2 linked regions of the Yarrowia lipolytica genome follow. The protein of the gene in region 1 interacts with the protein of each later gene in a biochemical or structural test. Links are inferred from orthologs where the notes say so. Each region holds a gene or a part of one and is shown on either strand. Other genes may lie near its edges.

Region 1 (7,665 bases):
ACCCTCTCATCCGATCCTACAGTAGTACCGTGGTTGTAGCGACTGTCTCTTGTCACACTTGCCTCTTATTGAATGCACTGTGGTGATAGCTGTCATGGACTCAATCATTTTTATACATATAGCCATTGATATAGCCATTGGTGTACAGTACAAGTACAAGTACTAGTACGAGTACATTGTACCATATTGTATTCGTGTTGTATCAGTTGCTTACGTACATTCGGTACATGCTGTTTTTCCAACACTTGCTAAACAGCTGTGGAACTACATCTTTTTTTTTTTTTTTGCCAACGGCTACACAGTCGCATTCCTATGCTCCATGTCATCCCATAGACAGATACAAGTACTAGTACAGTAGCAGTAGTACATCCCTTGCGAATTCATCAACAGCCATCCCCACCCCACACTGTAAGTAGTAGTTCCATCCACGTTAGTGCTATTACCCCGCAATCTATACACCCATCTTTAGTTCCTTACAACTCCCCGCCCTAAACATACGATACACGATACACCACAGAAACTTCAACAATCAATTTCAAATCATATTACACTCAATTTTCATTTTTTCATATTGTGGGTATTCTGCGACAAGCACAACAAAATATCAACCCCCTGTAACAGCGGAGGCTTCATCAAAGTGTACCGTCTTTTAGTAGCGCGTGGAAGAGTCACGGTGGACATGTAGCTGTCGTCAGACACGCCGGACGAGTCCGAGTCGCTGTCGCTGTCAGACACCCACAAGACCGCGGGCTCAGAAAAACAGCGCTTATTGGCTTGCCACTTCTTGGTAGCCGTTGGTGGACTCTTCCGGTACCATTTGATCGGCACTGACACTATCGGCAGCCGCTTCCTCAGAGATATCACCATCAATCCTCCCATGCTGGTCCTCGTTGTTTTGCCCAGACGCCAAGGTCGTAAGCTCCACAAATCGACGGATCAGAGGCACCTGCAAGACTGCAGGGATGTACGAGTCCAGCCGCTTGAGCAGACGGGGCTCGCAGATCTCAAACGGACCAGAGTCCTCCAGAGGAGAAGTCTCCAGCAGAAGAACAGCGTTCTTCTCCAGCTTGACCTTTTCGGAGATTGTGTTCATAATCTCGGACGAGATGGGAGCCTCGTAGTCAGCAGACAGGTACTGGCCAATCAGACGATGGATCTGAGAGGGAGTGAGAATCCAGCAAATGTCGTAGATGATCTCAATATCCTCCAGAGTCGACTTCTTGAGCTGCAGCAGCTTCGCGGACTGCATAAGGTGCTCCAACTTGACCACGCCGTCGGCAATGTCATGCGACTTGCACCACTCCTCGATTCGGGTGATGTTGTAGTTGATCTGCAGACCTCGCTTCCACGACAGGAAGTTCTTTCGCATAAGCAGGTCGTTGAAGGCCTTGACGCCAATCATGGACAGCAACTCCATCAACGACTGTCGCACGCTGTGCTTCTCGTTGAAGTAGCAGGTCATGGCCTTGTACACCTTGTTAAACAAGTTGAGCAGATCATCCATGGAGTAGGACACGTTGGAGGTGAACATCTTGGCGAGGAAACGGCCGTTGGAGTCTGTGGTCATGAAACCAGGGAGAGCCTGTGACAGCACAATGGCGGGCACAATCATCTTGTCCAGTAGCTTCTTGAGCTCCTTCATCCATGTGTGATAAATGTTAAACTCCAAGTTCTCCAGATCGGCCTTGACCACGTGTACCAGACGTCCGTACTGCTGGAACTCGTACTCGCCCATCTCGTCCATAATGTCCACGTTCTGGGCAATGTTGGCCTGGGCAAGACACACGAAAGACATGATCTCGTGCACGTTGGACAGCCAGAATGCGCCGGGGTAGATCACGGCCTCGCCGCTGAGCTCCAGAATGTGCTTCTGGATGGCCTCCATGACTCGGGCCAGGAACCGCTCGGACTCCTTGATAAAGCCAAGCCGCCACATCTCCGAGGTGATCAGGTTAAGAATGTGGGCGGGGAAGAGCACCTCTCGAGGCAGAAACTGGTCATCCGACGTGTGGGGGATGGGGATGTTGAGTTTGTGGATCAGACCCTCGATCACTTCATCATACAGCTCGTCGCTCTGGGACTCGAGCAGCTGCTCAATCTGGCCATTGACTCCGAGAGAAGCCATCATCTGCTCAGCGTTGGCACCGGCAGCAGCTCCCATGGCAGCACCGGCAGCAGCGCCGGCGGCAGAAGGTCGGGGAGTGAAAGCAGCAGCACCGTCAACGATGCCAGCAGAGGTGAGAGATCGACGCTTGATGTTTCGTCGCTTGGCGTTCATTGCTGTGCCAGGAGTGCCTCGAACAGGAGACACTGAGGCCATATCAGAGGCAACCACGCCGTTCTGCTTGAGTTTCTCAATCTCGTGCTTGGCCTGCTCCAGCTGCTCGCTCAGAGATTTGTTGGTGTCAATGTGCACGTTGGTGGCCTCAATCTTGTCAGCGACTTCCTTGGTCTTGGCCTCGAGCTCCTGCTTCAGAGCAGCGTTGGCGTCCTCCAGCTCGGTCAGCTGCGCAACGGACGCCTGGTATTGCTTATCCAACGCAGCCAGCTTCAGCTCCATGGTTTGAACCTCCTCCTGGTGGGCTCGCTCCTTCTCCTCAGCGGCATTCTCCAGCTCCTCGACCCGAGAAGAGTTCTCGGTGGACTTGGCGGTGGCAGCAGCAGATCGGGCGTTCAGCATGTCCATCTCGGCCAGCAACTTCTTGTTCTCGTCCCGCTTGGCGGTCAGACTCTGGGTGAGCTCGACCACCTTGTTCTCCAGTCGGTACTGCACCTCCTTGAAGTGCTTCTCGGACTTGGCCTCGACCTTGAGCTGCTTGAGCTGTTGCTTGGCCTGTCGTCGTCGGATCAGCGACTGGATGAGCACAATGTTCTGCAGCTTGTTACGGTACTCCTTTCGAGCCACATATCCTCGGAAGTTTCGCTGAATGGTCAAAGCAGCACCCTTGTGGGCCACCTCCTGGATGTTTCGTCGCACAAGAACACCCCGGAAGATGGCCTGCAGCCGGACAATGCCCTCTCGCTGCTGCTTGAAGTCTCGTCGACCAGAGAAGCCTCTCCACGCAGATTGGATTTTGACAGCAGCCTGCTCCTTTCGCAGCTCCTGGAACCTCTCTCGAGCAATGTGGGCTCGGAAGAGCGTCTGGGCAGCGATAATCGACTGTCGGGTGTCGAGATACTTTTGTCGGTAGAACCGCTTTCGCACATTCTTCTGGATGACAATAGCACACTCGTTGAGCCGGTCGGATCGCAGCCGCTCCAGGTAGGCGAGCATTCCTGCTCGGAAAAAGATTTTGGTCTTTCCGAGTTGGAATTTGTCCTCCTCCTTGATGGTCTTTTCTAGAATTAGGTTGCACAGATCTCGCACCTCCATGGAGGCCCACTCAGCAGAAGGGACCAGCATGTAGTATCGGGAAATGAACTCCTCGTAGGACCATCGGGATGGGAAGCCGGCACACGAGATTCGAATGGTCTCAAGCACACCACAGGCTCGCAGCTGAGAAAGCACGATGGGGGCAGAGAACGACCAGGCGGCCTTCTCCTCATTGGGCTTGATGCACCGAATGTAGTGCACGTTGGTGGAGTTGATGGTGGTCATCAGGTCAATGAGTGAGCCCTTGAAAATTCGGCCTAAAGTAGGCTTCTTGGGGGCTCGCAGGCCAGGCTTGGTAGGAGCAGCAGGGGCATTCTCAGCAGCAATGTTGGCAGCCACATCCAGAATGTTCTTGAGGAAATCATTCTTGGTGGCCATGAGAACCTCGAGGTGCTCATCAGGCACAGCGTCACGGTTCTTCTCCACAAAGCCTTCGGCCTCATAGTTGACGTCCTGGGCGTAGTGGGCAACCACAAACGACGTGTTGCCGAACCGCGGCTTCTTGAAATGCTTGTTCTGCGGATTATCTAGCTGCTGGTACAGCTTGGTGCACCAGCCATCGTCGCTACCGGCGGGGAGACGCGACTCCTCGTCAAGCAGAGAGAGGATACCCAGCTTTGCCTCGATCAGGTCGATACAAGGCTGGTTGTCGGAAAAGTCAATGAAGGTCCAGTTGATTTCCTCCTGCACGTACTCGTCCTGCTCGAGCTTGAACACGTGCTGGTTGAATTCCTGTTGCAGCTTTTCGTTGGCGTAGTTGATGCAGAACTGTTCAAACGAGTTCTTCTTGAAGTGCTCGAAACCAAAAATATCCAGTACACCAATGAAGGTCTCGACCTGTTCCTGCACTTTGGGGTCGCACAGGCCGCCATTGAGCTCGCTGACCAGCCAGTCGAACAGTGACGTGTAAATGTGCTTGGACACGGAGTCACGCACCACCAACGACTGCTTGTGAGTCTGGTTGGACACGATCTTGTCGGCTCGCGTCACAATCTGTTTCTTGGTGATCCATTTGGCAAACTGGACAGGGTCAATCTGCAGCAGCTCACAAGCCTTGATAAGAGAGGGCTCGTCGGATGACAGAACCGCGTCCTGACGGGTCTGGCCAATTTCAATGTTACCAATGTGCAGAATACCAGCCAGAATGTTCCACAGGCTCTCTTGCTCGGGTTTGGCGATGCCAATAGTCTCGAGAGACGCACCGGTCAGCTTGAATTCCTCGCTGTCGTCCACGCCTTCAATGGTATCATTACCTCCTTGGTTGAGGTATCGAAAGGCCGGAACACCTCCCTCGACACCTAGAGCCTTGGCAAGCTCGGGAGAGGCACCCTTGACCAGCTGGTAAAAGATGTGGTAGTTTCGCTCTGTGGCAGGCTGGAACACGAGACGAGATCGCTCCAGCAAGAAGGTTCGGATTCGAGCACCCACAATGTCCACGTCCTTGTTGAAGTTGATCTCCAGATATTTGCCGAACCGCGACGAGTTGTCGTTTCGGGTGGTCTTGGCGTTACCAAAGGCCTCCATGATGGGGTTGGTGGCGAGAATCTGCTCCTCGACGTGGGACAGTGAGTCACCTTGTGACACGTCGCGTTTTCGTGGTGCTAGCGGATCCTCCACTGTGGCAAAGTACCGCATAATGTACTTTGCAGACACGGTCTTTCCTGCTCCGGACTCTCCTGACACCACAATGGTCTGGTCCTTCTTGTCTCGCAGCATGCATCGGTAGGCGTCCTCGGCAATGGCGAACAGATGGGGCTCAAGCTCACCACGGGTCTTGCCGGCGTAGGCCTGGATAATGTCGGGGGTGTAGAGGTTGTCGACCCGCTGAAAAGGGTTGGTGGCAATAAGCACGATTCCCGAGTAGGTGTAAATGTTGAGCATCTGGTATCGGGTTCGGATCGCGTGCAGCACACTGGGCTCATTGAGATAGGACAGGGAAGTCAAGTCTTCGGTGGACTCCAGAATGGGGGGGTTTCGCAGGGGGAGCTGAGGGACCTCGGCTGACGACTTGAGCACAGATACGGAGGTCTCTACCGACTTTTCCTCGCCGTTCTCCAGTGTCAGGTTGATGGTCACCTTCTCACCATCCGTCTTCTGGTCGACCACCTCGGCACCCACCCATCCTTCTTTTTCGTCTCGGATCCAGCAGCGGCTGTGTTAGCAGTTGTGTAATTAGGGGTTTATCACGAGATTTTGACAGTCGTATGAAACGCCGAAAAAACGCGAAACCAGCTTTTTCGGCGTGGTATTGCCGGTTCATCCTCCCCTTCTCGTCATACTCACATTCCGGGCTCGTAACTGATGGCCATGAGCGCGTCGATCCGTGTGGATAGTGGTGTGGTGGTGTGGTGGTGTGGTGTTTGTGTGTTGAATTAATAAGCCTATTGCACGACGTGTGGACGGGGGAAAACACGTGTGGGCTTGTGTCGTAGGAAGAAGCGCAAAGGAATTTGAACCAAGTGTGGTCGGTAGCGTAGTTGCAAAATGTTACTCAAGATAGATAACACCCGATACTAAACACCCTTCTCCTGTTTGATGTGTTGGAAGGAAAGTCAAACTCTGTGTGCTAGTGCTAACCTGCAAGTAACCGTGCTCAGCGAAACACAAGACAGCAGCAGCAGCAGCAGCAGCAGCTGTCCAGGTGGCACCTAAGCGGGAGCTAATGGCGCCAAATCTAGCATGTTCATTCTAACTCCCCAATTCTGATAGGTGTTTGTTTCATGGAGCGACGCGGTAGGTCCGTTGTGGCAATCTTCAAAGAAATATCTCCAGTAAATAGCCGACTATTGACAATAAAAAAAAAAAATCAGTCACTACTCTGTGCAAACATACAATACAACTCAACTATGTCCGTGTAATTGTTTCTCGCTGGCACGTGTCATTATTATTATTTCCAGTACTTGTCCTCGTGGGCCCCCGTGATTCACCTCCCCCGTATGTACTCGTACCGGTACTACGTGTCCAAAATAATGCGCCCCTGCACACATTCCGAAAGAAGGGGTTGAAACACCTGTGACCGGTAAACGAAGCGAAATTGAAGTGAGAAATGAGTAAATAAAGGCCGCGCTGAAACGGGCGAAATTGAGGGAAATTAATGGGCCCAAAAGACTAGAACAATAGGGCCGACAAGTTGACAGCATACTACTTGTTTAATCGATAACACTCCCTCCTACCGCGTTCACAGCACCTGACGGGACCCCTGAGACTCCCGAAAAACACGCATTCTTGAGCTGCAGTACGCACCGTTAAAATGCGTATGGCTTAAGCTAAAAACAGGGGGCTCAGGGGCTCAACATGTGACATGGTGCCTCTGGTCGATCGCCGAAAACAGAGAAAAACACAGAGCCGTTCTGAGACGGCATGAACAATCATCTGAGACCGTACTGTTATTATTTTAGCCTGTCACCAAGGGCTGGCATGTGAAAAGCTAAACTGTTGCCGGGGTGACACCTTCTACACAACGCGACAGTCTCTAGCATTAGCCTTTTTAGGTCACGTGCCAAATAAACGAAAGAGGACACAAAGGTTAGGGGTCACCTTGGGACTGTTAATTAGTGCTTATTAATCGAAAGAATGAGGTGCTTATTAAGCATGGCCCACTACAGACAAATATGAAATGTCAATTCATGCATAAATTATCGTTGTTATCTAAAACCGTGTCTACTCCGTTCGCTGTTCGCTGAGAGCAGTCTTCTTCTTCTCCAGAACCTCCAAGGAGTGCTGATGAACGTTGTGAAGCACGAGTCCGAGGCCAGCCCAGGCCACACCGGAGAAAACGTATCCGAGAGGGTAGTAGCCGGCAGGCTTGAGTCGGATCTTGTTGGAAAGGAACTTGGTAGCGAATCCTGAGTTAGTATGTGATGTGTGCGAAGATATCTGATAGCATGATTGGTATCTGGTGTGCAGTCCATATCAGAACCGAATTGAAGACGATCTGAGATCACCGCTTGATTCATCATAAGCAATGCAGTTGATCCGTGCCAACAACCACTCCAATTCCAGTCAAGATTGGTCAAACATGTCTAGAACCCTTTGTGTCACTTGCAAGTCGATGGTTAAGACACAAAAACATGTCGTCGAAGCAGCGGAAATTGTCGGTGGACAATCTCGTCGCGCATTGCGATACTCACCAAGACCGGATGCACCGACTAGCGAAGTAAACAGAGCCATTTTTGCGGTATTGGTGTGTGCTCCAGAGATGACTTTGGTGATGCAATATGATTTTGGAGGTTGCAATTTGCGGTGCTGTGATTCGTTGGGAAAGCCGGGTAACTTTAAAATGATCTTGGTAG
Region 2 (3,297 bases), about 4.0 Mb from region 1:
TATAGAAAGGCTACTATAATATATATATAAAAAGGGATGACGTTATTGTAGATGGGAAAATAGATCGGTGTTCGAATTCGGAATAACTGGGCACGAAAAGAGTATAAACATGTCGTATGTTCCGGAAAGAACAAATAAAAGTGAGGTTTGGGTTCAGGTGAGTTATTTTTAGAATGCACACTCCAAACAAAGACACTGCATCACCGTGAGACCCCACAACAACACTCAGCAGGCAGGGGAATTTCTGTACACCAACAACGGATAAACAGAGAGAACTACGCAATGCCAAGATATGTACAACAGAAAAAAATCACATGCTCTATTTCAAGACTCAAAGGGCGCTTATTTAGCAGACTGGGTTAGTATGGAAGTGCAATTAAAGGCGATACGGCGGATCCTTTGCTCTGTAACACACGCACACAAATAATTAGCTCGCGTGTAGCGCTACAGGACCGTTTTTCCACTGATAACAATATTGACTCAGCCAGTGCAGAAACGCGCTCAAAATGTGCACCACACGGGCTGTGTAAACAACAAGCAGCAGGGAAAAACGGACACAGCCGGTAGCAAAGAAGGGCCCGCTGCGCACGGGTGAGCGCCTTAGGGTCCCACGTGCGCGCGAGAATGAGCCAGAATTATCCCGACATCATGTAATAGTAGAACTCACCAGCAGCTGAACAAACTCGTTGTAGTCGATTCGGCCATCACCGTTGGCATCAGCCTCCTTGATCATCATATCAACCTCCTCATCGGTGAGCTTCTCACCAATGGAGGTCATGACGTGTCGGAGCTCCTGGGCGGAGATGAAGCCGTTGTTATCCCGGTCAAAGACCTTGAATGCCTCTCTGATTTCCTCCTCGGAGTCGGTATCCTTCATCTTTCGAGCCATCATGGTGAGGAACTCGGCGAAGTCAATGGTGCCGTCGTTGTTGGCGTCGACCTCGTTGATCATGTCGGCGAGCTCGGACTCGCTGGGGTTCTGGCCCAGACTTCGCATCACGGTACCAAGCTCCTTGGTGGTGATTTTACCGTCATTGTTCTTGTCAAACAGGGAGAAAGCCTCTCGGAATTCGGCAACCTGGTCTTCGGTCAGCTGGTCAGACATCTTGGTTAGCATTGCGGTTCGGTCGAGGGTATTTTCGATCGAGGGAATGAACGTGACGCAACCGGATTGTCTCGTCTTTTTAAGGGATGCTTGTATGCCACGTGTCAGAGGGTGTTTCTTGGGAGAGACCCGCACTAGCACGTGGCACAATAAAAGCAGGCCCTCACTTCCGAGTGCAGAATATTATCACGTAAGGGTTACCCCTGCTTTTTCTCGTCGTCATCGTACTTACCTTTGGTGTGTTGTGGTGTGTAGAGAAAGAGTAATTTGGATTCGGGGAGTTAGTTTAGTTTGCGTTCGCCACGGTGGAGAGTAAATAGAGCCAGGTTGGGAGTCGAACTGCGGAGCGTTAGGGTTATGCCACAGCACCCAAGCGCTGGGTACTGAACTGGAGCAAGACACTCGAAACAAAGTTTGTCTTGCAGATGACATACCTGGAAAGCGTGCATGCCAACAGCTCAACAATAGATCCACCAAACGTCCACCTAAACGAAATATGAAGGCCTGGCACTGGTCTGTCACCCTTGTGGTAATCTACCTGGCAATTCCAGTCATTCTCTATTTGCTCACCCGAAAAGATGACCGAAAACCGCTCAGTGACATTCGAAAACGGAAGAGAACCATTGTGCTGGTCCTCGGAGACCTAGGTCGATCTCCTCGAATGCTCTACCACGCTCGGTCTCTGGCACGAAGCGGACACAAAGTTGACCTGTGCGGATACGACGGCGCAAAGCCCTTCGACGAGATCCTCAACAATGATCTCATCAAGATCCACCACATTCCTTTGATCCTCAACACACGCAAACTGCCATTTGTCGTGTTTGGCATTCTCAAGGTTATCCGACAGCACTGGCTGTTGATTTCTCTGCTCTACAAACTGCGAGGCGCTGACTACCTACTCGTGCAGAACCCTCCCTCAATCCCTACCCTTGGAGTTGTAAGGTTCTACAACCTGTTCCTAAGCACTCGAACCAAGGTCGTTCTGGACTGGCACAACTTTGGCTACACCATCTTGGCTCTCAAGCTGCCCGAGACTCACCCAATGGTCAAGTTTGCTAAGTTCTACGAGGGTTTCTTTGGAGGTAGAGCCTTTGTTCATCTGTGTGTGACTGTTCTAATGGGTCAGGCTATGCGAAAGACATTTGGAATGAGTGGACGACGAATTGTGCCCTTGCACGACCGACCTGCTTTCCACTTCAAGCCTCTCAGCGAATCTGAGAAGCTCGATGTGCTCAGAGACTTTAAGGAGACTCTCTATGACGACATGATCGCTGATCACAAGATTATCGTGTCCAGTACATCGTACACTCCCGACGAGAACTTCAACATTCTCCTCGACGCTCTGGCTCTCTACGACGAATCCAAACTCGACCTCCCTCCTCTCCGTGTCATCATAACTGGAAAGGGACCCATGATGCCCGAGTTCTTGGCCAAGGTGGAAAAGCTGCAGTTAAAGAGAGTGTCCATTCGAACCGCCTGGCTCGAGTTTGCCGACTACCCTCGAATTCTGGGCGCTGCCCACCTCGGAGTGTCTCTCCATGAGTCTTCTTCAGGCTATGATCTGCCCATGAAGGTCGTTGATATGTTTGGATGTGGCATTCCTGTGGTGTCTGTGGACTACGCTGCTCTTTCTGAGCTGGTCAAGACCAACACCAACGGTGTGGCTGTCAAGGGCCACGTGGAGATGGGCAACACTTTCATGTCCTTGTTTTCCAACCGTGGAAAACTTGACAACATCAAGCGAGGAGCTATGATCGAGTCTCGAAACACCTGGGACCAGACCTGGGTCAAGACTGTGGGTCCTCTTTTCGACATCGGAGAGTACGTTCAACAGAGACCAGATGAGGATTACGACTTCAGCAGTAGCAGCAGCGACGACGACCACTAATAACGATACGAAAAGAGAAGGTGAGAAAAGGATAAAAGAGATGGACATTGATCCACACTACATATAACTGAATGCATTTTTATTGTACCACATAGGACCATTATAATGGGGGCATAAACAAGCAATTGTTACCCACCTCATAAAAGGGAGGCTTGATAAGCCAAAGCATCATGGTACAGTTGGACTTCATATCTGTCTACATACAAGTACCGCTGCAACTGTTCTCCAACAGTTCAAACAGACGCTGTGACGTCATAGATCTGCAAATTTCAACGGAGAATACAATCTGAAACGCCACAAAGAG

Evidence for each region.
Region 2: the proteins of YALI1_E00510g (region 1) and YALI1_E40467g form a complex in vitro, tested with the Saccharomyces cerevisiae proteins (2 studies listed by BioGRID, with this or other methods). The link is inferred for Yarrowia lipolytica from reciprocal best matches to the Saccharomyces cerevisiae genes MYO2 and CMD1.

The regions. Positions count from the first base shown.
Region 1 is NC_090774.1:45,516-53,180, forward strand, and holds YALI1_E00510g (uncharacterized protein), read right to left. Parts: upstream 5,683-7,665; coding exon 5,657-5,682; intron 5,526-5,656; coding exon 767-5,525; downstream 1-766. Other genes in the region: YALI1_E00527g (uncharacterized protein), read right to left, coding at 7,034-7,218, 7,504-7,543. UniProt on the Saccharomyces cerevisiae protein: Myosin heavy chain that is required for the cell cycle-regulated transport of various organelles and proteins for their segregation.
Region 2 is NC_090774.1:4,045,564-4,048,860, forward strand, and holds YALI1_E40467g (calmodulin), read right to left. Parts: upstream 1,118-3,297; coding exon 647-1,117; downstream 1-646. Other genes in the region: YALI1_E40471g (uncharacterized protein), read left to right, coding at 1,602-2,993.